2 linked regions of the Sus scrofa genome follow. The protein of the gene in region 2 interacts with the protein of the main gene of each other region in a biochemical or structural test. Links are inferred from orthologs where the notes say so. Each region holds a gene or a part of one and is shown on either strand. Other genes may lie near its edges.

Region 1 (7,795 bases), on a different chromosome or scaffold from region 2:
GTGTACTAACAAATGTTAGTTTTACTTTTTAAAAAATGTTTTAGTGAACATTTTCAAAGGTCACAGAATGATCCTAATTTTTCACACTTAGTAAGACTGTTTGGGACAGTTTCAGTCTGCCACCCCAACTACTCTGCAAAGGGAGGGCTGCTCCACAGTAAGCAGTACCTGACGTTATCAAGAGCAAACATGCATCAGGAGCATCCAGGTTCATAACTAACAGAGAAATCTACCAGGCCAGTTATTAGTCTGAAGAGGGAAATACCTTAGACTATAACAGTTCAGCTCCTATATTGTTTAGTTTCCAAATTCTATGATTTATACATGCAAATCTCTTTTACTGCTCCCACGTTCTGCCATATCCACACATCTTCATCTTTAATATGGGGAAAACAACCTCATATTGTCCAACCTTTTCATAGACGGGGAGGTGGAAAGCAAGGCTTAAGAGCGCAGGAGCATATCTAGCATGCAAAGCAATCTAGCAGGGCAGCAGGAAAACTGAAACACTGCTAACCCAGTTCTTGCTCCAGGATACATAATGCTGCCCACTTCTGAAAATGGTAATTGGGTTTTACTTTGGTCTTGTTTTCCACTCATGTGGCTTACCAACAAAGAAAAAATATTCCATCTTTTTTTCTGAGCCTCTCACTAAAGACATTTTGCAATCTTCTGCATTCAGAGAAGACAGCTCCATCACACCACTAGTCTAACTACTGATAAATGACAAAAAATATTCAAATGTTTCACATTACAATGTATTCTGGATGGGATCCTCGGACAGAAACAGACATTAGGTAAAAACTAAAGAAACCTGAATACAGTACCAACTTCAGTTAATGATAAGTATGTTGATACTCGTTCATTACTTGGTGATAAATGTACCAGACCATGATGTTAACAGGAGAAATTGGATACATGTATAGGAATGCCCTGTACCATCCTCACAACTTTTCTGTAAAATTTGAAAGTACTCTAAAATTAAAAATGTACTATTACTATAAATTATTGCATACACTTTTAATTTTGAATCACAGGTACTAAACATAGCAGTGTATTTTTATTTTTTTTTTAAGCTGTGTGCTATGAAATCATACCGACCCCCCAGAAGTGACTCTGCCTCTGGGAACTGGGAATCTAGCCAGTGGGGTTTCCACCACAGCCCATTTCATGAATGGAAGTGTCTGAGAGTCTGAATAAGGATTCTACTAGAAGAGAAGCATGAAAGCCACTCTCAAATCTAAAAGGGAATAAGGGCTCCTGATTTCAGGATTATTCCAAATTCAGAGTTCCTCATGATGAAAAAAGCACTAGGCTGAGAGTAAAAAAACTAGATTCTAATCTGGACTCTATTGATAACCAACTATGTAAAATCTTATATTTCCTTAGGCCTCAGTTTTCTCATCTACAAAAAAAGAGGATCAAGTAGTATGGCGAAGTATGTTTCAGCTCAGAGGTCTGTTTAATTAGAATCCCCATCAATTTTTTTTCTAGTAACAGAAAGGATAAAAACATATGACTTAGGCAATGGACATTAAAATACAGTGCTTTAATTGAGGTAAAAAAAAATATTTGTCGGATGCTTTTTCTTTTTGGCCTATCAAATAACTATTTTTGTCAAGGTTATTTTGGCTCAATTAAAAAACAAGTAGGAGTACCCACTGTGGTGCAGTGGGTTAAGGATCCATCTTATCTCTGTGGAGGCACCAGTTCAATCCGGCCCAGCACAGTGGATTAAGGATCTGGCACTGCTGAAGCTGTGGCATATGTTGCAGGTGTGGCTTGGATTTGATCTCTGGCCTGGGAATTTCAATATGCCTCAGGAGCAGCCAAAAAAGAAAAGGAAAGAAAAAGAAAAACAAGCAAACATATACAATACCTGATCTAACTAATCTAATTTAAATTTCAAGCTTTACCACATCTACTTCACAGATATAAAGGTACTGTTTCCCTCCCTTACTACCAAGAAGCAAATATGAAAGTGTAACTAAGAGAAAATATAATTTAAAAATAGCTCCAGGAGTTCCTGCTGTGGTGCAGTGGGTTAAGAATCCAACTACATCGGCTCAGGTTGCTGCAGATGCATGGATTCCATCCCCAGCCTGGTGCTGTGGGTTAAAGGATCCATCATTGCCGCAGCTGTGACACAGGTTGCAGCTGCGGCTCAAGTTCAATTCCTGGCCCAGGTACTTCCGTATGCCTCAAGTTCAGCCATTAAAAAAAAAAAAAAAAAAGTTCCAATACATAATCCAGAACTTACTTTAGACACCTCTCCCCCAAGTGGACAACACTGTCACTCTTGTAAAGCACAAAAAAGGATAACTAGAACATAAAATTCACCAGGGCAATTTTTAGCAACAGTTTCAAAACAAATTTCAGTGGTTTAAGAAAACATCAATTAACTGCCTAAAATATATTCTTTTTAATTAAGCTAAAGTTTCAAATCTCATAAATCTAAACGGTGTAAATACAGAATTTAGGAATGCTGAAAATACAGACCAGAAAATACACATTCCAATATATAACAAATATGCAAATAATCTCACGGCAATTTCCTTACAACTCCCCCAAATGATTAAATGTGGTTAATAAAAAGTACCTGTCATTAATATAACCATTGGTCTTTTCAAAATATTTCCACACTCTCTCATATGTACAGTGTGTGTGGGGGGGATTGTGTTTAAGTAAAAAATGAAATCCACAAAGTGAAAACTATCAATCGAATGAAAATAAATCATTTTATTACTAAGTTTTCAAGAACCTATAAATACTAAGCACATCTCATAAACACAGCCCCACTAACAAGCACGCAGGATTTCAAATGGAAAGGGCAGTAATTATAAAGTTTTAACACTAAAATATCACTTTTAAATCACCCATGCTTTATTACTTAGTTCTCATCTCATCTCTCATCAGTCTACTGAAACAGTTCCCCAACACCAAAACTAAACATCTTATCGTGACGCCTGCACGTAGTCAAGATGAGACATTAAAAAGACACAACTTCTCACTGAAATGAATGTAGAATGGTATTACCTTGAGACTACCCATCACAACATACACTGATGCCTTCCACTTTAGTATGTAGACTTGAAAATTCGTTTTATTATATAATGATGACATGAAATGCAAAACTAGTTTGTATTAATGGGTATGATTAGAAAAATTAAAGATCATACGCATTAATATTTTTAAGTAATAAAGCCTAACATTTTGACTTTAACATTTAATAGTCAAATGTCTAAAATCTTAGTGGTAATACTTAATTTCAAAGTCTGTGCTCATAGAAAACAAAACTGTATTAAGTGCAAGAAAGGAGTTGAATAGCTAATCTAAGAAATTGCTTTTTCTTCAGTTAGCGTTCACCTCACTCCTTGCTTTTACTTAGTTTGCACCACAGTTTTTCACTCAAATGAAAGATAACACACCTGCGGTCAGTTAGGAGACGGCCCCGTCCTCCGCCCACGTCAAGGCGAGTCAGGAATCAGACTCGCTTCAGCCTGGACCCCCAAGCGAGCCCTCCCGCGCCCAGGTGGAGGTAGCCCACCCTGGGCACCCCTGCTCGCTCTCTCACAGTCCGCGAGCCCCCGCCTGCCTGACCCAGCAACGCCTGCAGGACCCCAGACCAAGCAGGGCCCAGCCCAGCTCTAGGGCGCGCAGCCGACGCGCGGGCACGACCGCCGCCCCGACAGCAGCCCCGACCCTCCCTGTTCCCAGTGCGCTTCACGGGGAACGCAGCCGCCAAGGGGCCGCGCTCCTGCTTCTCCGCATGGCCAGGCCGATAGCCGGCAGCAGGCGGAGGCGCAGCTCGGGTCGGGGTGGAAAAGCAAGCGGCCCGGCCGGGAACAGACCTGTGGAGACCGCCATCTTCTCCTGCAGCCCGACGCACCGCCCTCACGCACGCGAAGACCGCGCCACTTCCGGGAGCGCCACTGCCCGCCCTGCGGCTTCCGACTGCAGGGTCCCGCCCCGCGGCTTCCGGTGCGTCACCACGGACCCGCCCCGCGGTTTCCGGGTTCCCGAAGCGCTGCAACTACTTCAGAGAAATGTGACAGAAGAAGTTGACGGAACACTCTCGAGTCAGTCACCGTAAGAGAGAGCGAAGCGCGAGGCAAGAACGCTCCGGGAAGGGCTCGCGCTTCGGAGAACCCTCGCCGGCGTGACGTCACGGGCGTGCGTCGAGCCGGGGGGCGGAGCGCCGCCGAGGGCCCCCTGATGGGGAAGGACGCGGCTCTGAGAGTTGAACGGAGGGGTTGTGGGAGGAAGGCTGGTCCCGACGGGTCGTTTTCTGTGGAAATAATTCAAGAAGCGGATCGGAAGTTTAAAGAACCCTTAAAATTAAGCTACCTTATTCGTATTTTCTTTTGCGATATGAGTTGGTGGAGGCAATGATTAAGATCTACGTCCAAGTCTAGAAAATTCTCCCCAAAAGTGTAAAAGAGCTTCCGAGTCACAGAAGAGCCTCGCTGCGAACGTGCCCCCACTGTTGGCGGCGGCCGCGGGGACGCGCACAGACTCGGGTGGTGGCGCCAAGCCGGCCCCGCGTAGGACTGCCGGCGACCCCCGAGGGCTGCGAGGTCCCGGGGTGCGTGCACCCTGCTACCCGCAGAAGGGGCGCGGACGGAGTCCCGCACCCCCCGCGCTGGTATCCCCGACCGGGCGGGGCCGGGGAGCTCGTCCCAAGTCCTGCCTTAGTGGTACTTGCTATGCACAAGGCGAGGTGGTTCTTGTTGGGTGGTGCTGACTGAAAAAAACGCACAGCCTGAAAGCTGAGAGTTAGGTTTTGTTTGGCAGACATTCTGAGGACTTGGAGCGCGGGAGCCGAGACTCAGATCACTGTGAGGGACTGCTTGGAAGTGGGGGGAGTGTAGCAAAGACTAGAAAGTCTGAGCATCAGAACATTACTGTTGAAGAACAGACATCCCAAATTAAAGAATTTCACGCTTTTTTGTCTATGGAAAGGTGCAGAGTCTGGCATTGAAATATTCCTTTGACGAACACCTTAGCTACCTTGTGCCCTTAGTATCCCGCGCCCTCAGGATGCAGCCTTGGTGGTGGCTGCAGCGCTCCCTGGGCTGAATTCCCAATGTGGTGGCCTGATGGCTATGACATCCTTTGTTTACTGATATGGCAGGCAATATTTTTGGCCAAACCTGCAGCATGTGTGGAAGTTCCCAGGCCAGGAATGAAACCTGCACTGCTGCAGTAACAATGCCACTAGATCCTTAATGCTACGCCACTATTTTCTAGTCAGAGGGGCCACTTCTTTCCACCCTGCACCCTTATTTCTCACCCATCTCTTACACATGACTTAGACTTTGGGAGGAGGCAGATCCTGTTCTTAATTTCTGAATGTGCTGTGTCAGCTGCTTTTTCTTCCCAGTTGCTCCCAGCTATGCCTCATAATAGGAAGTGGCACTATAGAGTGCTCTTTTAAGATTTGTTGCACTCTTCTCTGGAAGGAAGCCTCTATAACGGCTCCCAGTGATCCCTTCTGGTGTTGATACCTTGTTTTATAATCCTCTTGCCTTTTGTGGGGGCTGGGTTTACTGACCAGCTTCCAATAAACAAAATAAGACAAGTGCAGGAATATCACTTCTGAGATTTTGTTTAGAAAGAATAGGCTGCTGGGAGTTCCTATTGTGGTTCAATGGAAATGAATCTGACTAGGCAGGTTCAATCCCTGGCCTCGCCCAATGGGTTAAGGATCTAGCATTGCTGTGAGCTATAATGTAGGTCACAGACATGGCTCAGATCCCACATTGCTGTGCCTGTGTTGTAGGCCAGCAGTTACAGCTCCAATTTGACCCCTATCCTGGCAAACTCTGTATGCTACAGGTGCGGCCCTAAAAAGCAAAAAAAAAAGGACTCCTGGAGTTCCCTAGTGGCTCGGGGGTAAGGATTCAGCCTTGTCACTGCTGTGGCTCAGGTTTAATCCTTGACCTCAGAACTTCTGCATGCTTTAGGCATGGGGGGCCAGAGACTGGATTTCCGACATGCTCTCTCTTGCTCCCTGTGAAGGAAGCCAGCTGTCATCCTGACAGCTGCCTTCTAGAGAAGCCCACGTGGAAAGGAGCTAAGATCTTCTGGCCCAAGAACCTTGAGGAAGTGAGGTCTTCGGTTCAACAGCCACAAAGAACTGAACCCTATCAACAAATATGGGGAGTTCCCATCATGGCGAACGAATCCCACTACAAACCATGAGGTTGCGGGTTCGATCCCTGCCCTTGCTCAGTGGGTTAACGATCTGGCGTTGCCGTGAGCTGTGGTGTAGGTCGAAGACGCGGCTCAGATCCTGCGCTGCTGTGGCTCTGGCGTAGGCTGGCAGCTACAGCTCCAATTAGACCCCTAGTCTGGGAAACTCCATATGCCCGCAGGAGTGGCCCAAGAAATGGCAAAAAGACAAAAAAAAAAAAAAACAAAACAAATATGGGGGTGAGCTTGCAAGCAGATCCTCCCCGTTATCTCTTTGGATGACACTGCATCCTGGGCCAGCCCCTTCATTGCCACTCTGCTAGAGACAGAGGAACCAGCTAAAGGTGCCCAGATTCCTGACCCACCAATAATGAGATAATACATGTTTGCTGTTTTAAGCCACTACATTTTGGAATAATTTGTTTTGCAGCAATAGGAAACAAACACACTCTCTCACAGTACCCAAGACATGGAAGCAACCTAAAGTGTCCATCGACAGAGGAATGGATAAAGAAGATGTGGTACATACATATGATGGATTATTAATCAGCCATAAAAACAAATGGAATTTTGCCTTTGTCAGCAACATGGATGCACCTGAGGGGTATTACGCTAAGTAAGTGAGACAAAGACAGATACTCTGTTTTCACTTATATGTGGAATCTAAAAAATCAAACAAACAAGTGAGTGTAATGAAACAGAAACAGGTTCATAGATATAGAGAACAGACTAATGGTTATCCGAGGGGAAAAGGAAGAAGGAGGGGCAAGGTAGTGTTAGGTGAGTAAGAGGTACAAACTACTATGCATAAAATAAATAAGGTGTGAGACTATATTGTGAAGGATAGGGTATATAGCCAGTGTTTTATAATAACTTTATTATTTATTTATTTATTTATTTTTTAATAGTTATTTCCCCAATGCAATTTTTTTTTCTGCTGTACAGCATGGTGACCCAGTTACACATACATGTACACATTCTATTTTCACTTATCATGCTCCATCACAAGTGACTAGACATGGTTCCCAGTGTATAATAACTTTAAATGGAATATTATGTAAAAGTTTAGAAACACTGCGTTGTACACCTGAAACTAATAATATTGTAAATCAAGTATAACTCGATTTTTTTAAAAAAAAAACTTTGTAAATTTCTCTTGCGATTTCATCTATACCTCAAGTGTTATTTAGAAGTGTGGTAATCAGTCTACACATATTTTGGGAGTCACTGAAGGTATTTGATGTCTGATAATGTTTACTCAATGTTTGGAGGATAAGCTAATGTACAATAACAGTAAGCAGTTATATTTTTTTTCCAGAGCCTCACCGCAGCATATGGAAGTTCCCAGGCTAGGGGTCGAATTGGAGCTGTAGCTGCCGGCCGACACCACAGCCACTGCAACACAGGATCCTTAACCCACTGAACAAGGCCAGGGATCGAACCCGAGTCCTCATGGATACTAGTTGGGTTCATTACCACTGAGCCACAACAGGAACTCCAAGCAGTTATGTTCTTGACTTCTTTGTTGTGGATTGACCATAAGTACATGGGTTTATTTCTGGGCTCCCTATTCTGTTCCATTGATCTGTGTGCCTGTTTT
Region 2 (7,020 bases):
TTGAATTTAGGGGTATGCATAGTTTCCCTGAAAATTTTTGTCACTATGCCTTTAGCATGTTTCAGTGAATGTTTTAATTCTTCTTTCATCTGCCTCCACTACCCTAATCCATCAAATAAGCTATTCTCTCACTTTCCTGGTAGATTATCATCATGGAGAAAAATAGACTTTGGTTCAAATATTAGTCCATACCATCTTTTAAGAAAAAATCCTTTTAAAAAAACCTTTTGGTGCATTGATTTGGGAAATCTGGAAGTGCTTATTTAGATCAGAGGTTGTAAGCTGATAGCTTGTGATGAGGTGTAGATGAGTGTGATTTTTGTCTACACAATGTTTAAATGTTTTTTCATTTATTTCCAATATTTGAGTATCTGGATATTTTACATTTTATACATACTTTGTCTACACAGTGTTTAAATGTTTTTTCATTTATTTCCAATATTTAAATATCTGGATATTTTACATGTTATACATCTATTTGCAAAGATTTCTCTTGACAAATGGATGATCTGGTAATGCAGGATACTTATTTCCATATAACATCAGTTGACTGGAGCTGAGTAGCAGCAGTTGCATTAACTAGGTATATACCTTTTAGTTGTACCACCTGTTCCTTTTTTAAAACTTTGTCTCTTTGGTTATGTTTTCTCTTTCATGCATTTGTGTTTGTGATCTCAATTTAAATATAGGGTGTTTAGGATATTAAAATGTGAGTTTTGAGGAGAAATACTCAGCAGTACTTGTCACTTGGAGCCCCTTGGCTTTTGTTACTTAGAACTGAGCACTCAGCAGTGCTCAGTTCAAGTTTTTCAGCTACTGAGAGTAAACTTTTAGTGAATCCTGGATCAGAAATAGTTCTTGAAAATTATTCCTCATTCTCCCAGAGTGGATTTCTGCACTCGGTGGTTCTGTTAGTGAAAGCTCTACCTTCTCAGTTAAACTTACCATCTTACTTATCTTATGATCTTTGTAATATGCTCTCTATATTTTTAAACACTTTTATGTCATCTCCATTTTTTCTGGCATTCTGGTCCTAAAATCCATCTGTTTCTTCTCATTGTTGCTGGTCCTAGTCCATGTCCTTTTTCTGTCTTTCTAGTCTGCCCAGTTCTTTCTATTTTGTTTGCATGCAAAATTTGAATGTGACAATTATTTAGCAGATTCTAAATGGACTTAAATGTAAAAAATAACTTCTAATTTTCTTTTCCTTTGAATTACAATAGGGTAGTTCCTTTTGGTGCAAATAATGCTTTTACCATGCCTCTACATATGACTTTTTGGGGAAAAGAAGAAAATAAAAAAGCGGTTTTAGATCAGTTGAAGAAACATGGATTTAAATTGGGTCCTGCACCAAAAAGTAAGTTTAGGATTTAACCTATTATTTTGGTATCATAAGGTATGGGAATTGTAAAATCTTTATTCTCTTAAATAATACTTTGAATTTGGTTGGCTGAACCAATTGGTGCTAAAGGCTCCAAGTTCTTTTTTTCAGGAATCTTTTAAAACAAATCCTTCAAAATTTTTCCTCTTTATTTTGAAATAACTATAGATTATAGTTGCATAGATACACAGAAAAATGTACAAGGAGATCCCTCTCCTAATTTCTCCCAATGATAATATCTAGAAACCGCTGATTTTAACTATTCTCTTTAATAAATTACAGACAAAAAGAATCTCCCACTAGAGAAAGAAAAATATTAATTTGTTTTGCAAGAGTTGTTGAAACCCTGCGGAATTATTTTAATGTATTTTTTGAATGATTTAGAAGATGTATATGCTTTTAAATTTTTTAGGGAGTTCCTGTTGTGGCTCAGTGGGTTATGAACCTTGCTAGTATCCACGAAGACACAGGTTTGATACCTGGCCTTGCTCAGTGGGTTAAGGATCCATCATTGCCGTGAGCTGTGGTGTAGATTGCAGACATAGCTTGGATCCTGCATTGCTGTGGCTGTGGCTTAGGCTGATGACTGCATCTCTGATTCCACCCCTAGCCTGGGAACTTCATACGCCGTAGGTGTGGCCCCAGAAAGCAAAAAGAAAACAAATTTTTCAAAAATTATATTAAGGGAATTTTAAATTCAGCTTTACGTAAGCTTTAAAAGCTATTTACTTAAAGATAATTTATTTTGTTTGGTGATTTTATTCTTTTCATTTTGTAAATTATAGCTTTAGGATTCAGTTTGGAAAGTGGTTGGGGCTCTGGAAGAGCTGGACCAAGCTATAGTATGCCAGTTCACGCTGCAGTACAAATGACAACTGAACAGGTATACTTCTCTTTTGTTTTGTAATCTAAAAGTGAATTTTAAATGTTGAAGATTGATATTTAAAAGTATAGGATAAATATGTATGTGCTAGTATTAGTGATCTTTAGAGGTATAAGTTACCAAATGTTTAGGTAAAGTATATATTGCAAGCACTTATATGGAAAGAAAGCAATGCTAAGGAATATGTGCACACATATTCGTTCACACATATATTGAAACACACATATTGCTATATATGCTGGGATATTTTACTATGTCTTGATGTTTTTGTATTATTTGAAATTTAATGTTCATAATTAAAAAAAAATTTAAGCTTGAATCCTACTCCTTTTGCAGATGAGGTACTAAAAAATTAGTTCCAAATCTTTGACCTTAGTTATTTCTTACTTTGTCTACTTTGTGATCAAGGATGCAGTTATACTAGGTTAGTTTGGGGATAAATGATAAAAAATAAATTAATGCATATCAGTCTGCCAATTACATTGAAATTTTTTGTTTCTATTTTTAACTTTTTCTTTTTTTTTTTTTTTTTTCCTTTTTACTGTCCCACCTGAGGCATATGGAAGTTCTCAGGCTGGGGTGGAATTGGAGCTGCAGCTGCCACCTTACGACACAGCCACCTCAGCACTTCATCCAAGCTGCATCTGCGACCTATGCCACAGCTTGCGGCAATGCTGGATCTTTAACCCACTGAGCAAGGCTAGGGATCAAACCCGTATCCTTACAGATGTTATGTTGACTTCTTATCCTGCTGAGCCACAATGAGAATGCCATACTTTTAGCCTTTTTATATTCTAATTATAGTTACTGTATTTTCCCTGCTCATGATTAGAAGGACTTAAGCTTGTGCCCAGTGGGTAAACCCCAGATTACCTCTCCTCAATTATTAGACTTAGCCCGATTTGTTCTGGGCTGCTGCTGTGTATTTATTTGCCAATTTACAAAAGTAATTTTAGCATATATATGTTATTATAAAATTGGAGTAAATCAAATTAAAGAACCAACTAGATCAAATTAGCATAAGATTGAAATTATCCTAATGTTTTTCAGCACATAGCAGGATGATTGCAGTAATACTAAGTGAGATGTCATTTACTTGAAAAAGTCAAATATACATGGTAGGATCTGCCAAAATGGTTTGAATACAGTTAATAGAATCACATAATTTAAATGACAAAAGAAACTTTAGAAATACTCTAAACTTTAGAGATACTCATTTTGTAGGCATAAGATAACAGGGCCGTAAAGGTAAAGTATTTTGCCCAAAGTTATATATAGGTTATTTGTGACAGAGCTGTGACTGAAACTCAGGACTTAAAACTCCATTCTGTATTCCTTTGACTGTAACAGTTACAGGACCTATTTATTCTGCCTTTATCGAGCAGTGTATTATCACAAATAATTTATTTTACATACCTTTTGGTATTCATCTCTTTTGGTTAATTAAATGATTTGAAATCTCTGAATTACATGCAATTATTATTTTAATTGGTTTGCTTCATAATGTTTCTTGTTGTTCTTTGTTGTAGCTTAAGACAGAATTTGACAAATTGTTTGAAGATTTAAAAGAAGATGATAAAACTCATGAAATGGAACCAGCTGAGGTATTGAGCCAATGCTTTCTATTTAAAAATATTTGGATTTTAAGATACAGTGTTAATCTATACATTAAATTTTTTTGGCCGTGCCCATGGCCATGTGGAAGTTCCAGAGCCAGGGATCAAACCCACAGCAGGGATCTGAGTCACAGCAGTAACAACGCCAGATCCGTAATCTGCTACATCATAGGGGAACTCCGTTAATCTATACATTTTTATGACAAGATCAATTGTTTTCTAGATTCTGCATGGGGAAAAAGAAAAGGTTTATTGTATTTCTGTTTATGATATTTCCTTTATTTATAGGCTGTTGAAACACCATTACTTCCACATCAAAAACAAGCTTTAGCTTGGATGGTTTCACGGGAAAATAGTAAAGAACTTCCACCGTTCTGGGAACAGCGAAGTGACTTATACTATAACACAATAACTAATTTTTCTGAGAAGGACCGACCAGAAAATGTTCATGGAGGAATTTTAGCTGATGATATGGGTTTGGTAATTTTATTTTTTCTTGAGTTAATAACATTTTCCTTGTAACTATGATTTTATAGAAAGTAATTTTTGAAGTAGATATAGATGGGAAGATGTTGGTGCCAGTTGGGATTAGAATATAGTTTCTCTCATGGTTTTTACTTAAACTAATGCTAAGCTTTTTTTTTTTTTCTTTTGGTTCATTTGCCTAAAGTACAGTTAAAGTAATTAGTAATGATAAGAACATACATTTCTGAATTTTCTTTTGAATTTCAAGGTAGCTTATCTTTCATTTTTTTTTTTTTTCTTTTTACAGCTGCACCTGCAGCATACGGAAGTTCTTAGGCCAGGGGTTGAATCAGAGCTGCAGCTGGGTCCCATGCCACAGCCCCAGCTACACCAGATCCAAACCGCATATGCAACTAACTCTGCAGCTTATGGCTATACCAGATCCTTAACCCACTGACTGAGGCCAGCAATCGAACCCGCATTCTCACAGAGACAATGTTGGGTCCTTAACGTGCTGAGCCACAACAGGAATTCCTCACGGGCTTTCTAATAGGAAGATATGATTCCTTACACCAGCAGTTTTTATTCTTTTTGGTCTCAGCAACGCTTTACATTCTTGAAAATTATTGAGGATCTCAAAGAGCTTTTGTTTTTGTGAGTTTTCTATATTAATATGTCTTAATATTTATGATTTAGATATTAAATTTTTCTGATTGTTTTTAAAATAATAGTTAACAAAACTCATTACTTGTAAACAGAAATAGCGTATTTAAAATGAAAAGTACTCTAAAAGAAAAGCAGTTTTGATAAGGCTGGCATTTACATTTGACATTTTTGCAGATTTTTTGGTTTTTTTTTTTTAGGGCTACACCCATGCCTATAGAAATTCCCAGGCTAGGGGTCGAATCAGAGCTATAGCTGCTGGCCTACACCACAGCTACATAGGATCCAAGGTGCATCTGTGACCCACTTTACAGCTCATGGCAACACCGGATCCTTAACCTGCTGAGCAAGGCCAGAGATGAAACCCACATCCTCATGGATACTAGTCTGGTTTGTTACTGCTGAGCCATGACAGGAACTCCTCATTTTTGCAGATTTCTTTAATGTCTGGCCTGATAGTTGACAGCTAAATTATAATCTGTTTTTTCATTCATACTGTTATAATATGTTATTTTGGTTGAAGTATATAAAGAAAATTAGTCCTCACACAGCTATCCAGTTGTAAAAGGGAGTATTTTAATAGCTTTTTTAGATAACTAGATACAACGATAAGATTAAACAAGTATTAATTTATTAAAGGTTAATAGTTATAACTTAGAACCTAAAAATCTTATCAGTGAACTTTTTATACTTTGTTCCATTAATATCCACTAGTGTAGCTGGCACATTGAGTGGATATTTTACCCATGCATGATTTTGTAACAAAGTATTGCTCATTTGGAAAAGATTGGTTCTCCGAGTTACACAGAAATGCCAAATGTTGATGCATTTCATTATGCAGTATTAAAGAATTTACATTCATTGATACTACCGCTGATCTTATTAGAAAGATATTTACGGAGTTCCTGTCGTGGCACAGTGGTTAACGAATCCAACTAGGAACCATGAGGTTGCGGGTTCGATCCCTGGCCAACTAGGAACCATGAGGTTGCGGGTCCGATCCCTGGCCTTGCTCAGTGGGTTAAGGGTCCAGCGTTGCTGTGGCTGTGGCTTAGGCCGGCAGCTACAGCTCTGATTAGACCTCTAGCCTGGGAACCTCCATATGCCGTGGGAGCGGTCCTAGAAAAGGCAAAAAAAAAAAAAAAAAAAAAAGAAAGATATTTACATTTGGGAAGCTTCTGTGCTTTCAGCATTGGATACAAGTTTTCTAATATTCAATTTTTACTTGAAAGCTCAAATTTTATCATTAGCAACAAATACTGTCAGTTTTCCTTGGAGTTGATAGGCTCACTTTATTCATTTTTCAAGAAAATGTCTGGCACTCAGTCATAAATAACTAGTTGTCAGTTCTTTCAGTTACAAGGTTAATACTTGGAAGTGATAATGCATGATGATGCATGGTAGCTAGTTGAACTTCAGTTTAGTCTCAAGGGACTTTGCTCTAGATAACCTTCATATTTTGTTGTGCAAAAGAAGTATTTTCTATACCTCTTATCTTGTGATACAAAATATTCAAAAGATGTACTTAAGAGGTAAGATTTGATAAATGAATGTGTACTGCTTCATCAAGAACATTCTTAAAGTGAAACTTTGTTTTTTACTTATGTGATGGTTCCAAATATAATGACCACTGGTACAATGTAGTGCCAACAGCTCTGTTTCATTCTAAGGCAGCAGCAGTTTTACCCACCGTTGCTTTTGTGGAATTACTTCATATATCAACACAAATGAAGTCCCAGTAGTATTACTAAAATAGTTTTGACAGCACATACTCCTGAAAGGGTCCTGGAGAACTTCTAGGACCTGTGGACAGCACTCTGTAAACTGCTGCTTTACACTGCTTTAAAATTGACAGAGATTTATTTCTGTGTTGCTAATTATAAATTAAGCTATGGAAAATAATGTTTATATTTAAGAAAAATGCACAAGAAATATATCCTTTATGTGTTATTGGTATGGTAGCTTTTAAGCTTTTATTTTTAAATAAAATATCTTATTTTTATATTGGAATT

Evidence for each region. The genes of interacting proteins can lie anywhere in the genome.
Region 1: the proteins of HLTF (region 2) and UBE2V2 form a complex in vitro, tested with the Homo sapiens proteins (2 studies listed by BioGRID). The link is inferred for Sus scrofa from reciprocal best matches to the Homo sapiens genes HLTF and UBE2V2.

The regions. Positions count from the first base shown.
Region 1 is NC_010446.5:79,648,581-79,656,375, forward strand, and holds the start of UBE2V2 (ubiquitin-conjugating enzyme E2 variant 2), read right to left. Parts: upstream 3,923-7,795; 5' UTR 3,868-3,922; coding exon 3,852-3,867; intron 1-3,851. UniProt on the Homo sapiens protein: Has no ubiquitin ligase activity on its own. The UBE2V2/UBE2N heterodimer catalyzes the synthesis of non-canonical poly-ubiquitin chains that are linked through 'Lys-63'. This type of poly-ubiquitination does not lead to protein degradation by the proteasome.
Region 2 is NC_010455.5:89,313,999-89,321,018, reverse strand, and holds part of HLTF (helicase-like transcription factor), read left to right. Parts: intron 1-1,223; coding exon 1,224-1,357; intron 1,358-2,166; coding exon 2,167-2,264; intron 2,265-3,793; coding exon 3,794-3,868; intron 3,869-4,168; coding exon 4,169-4,360; intron 4,361-7,020. UniProt on the Homo sapiens protein: Has both helicase and E3 ubiquitin ligase activities. Possesses intrinsic ATP-dependent nucleosome-remodeling activity; This activity may be required for transcriptional activation or repression of specific target promoters.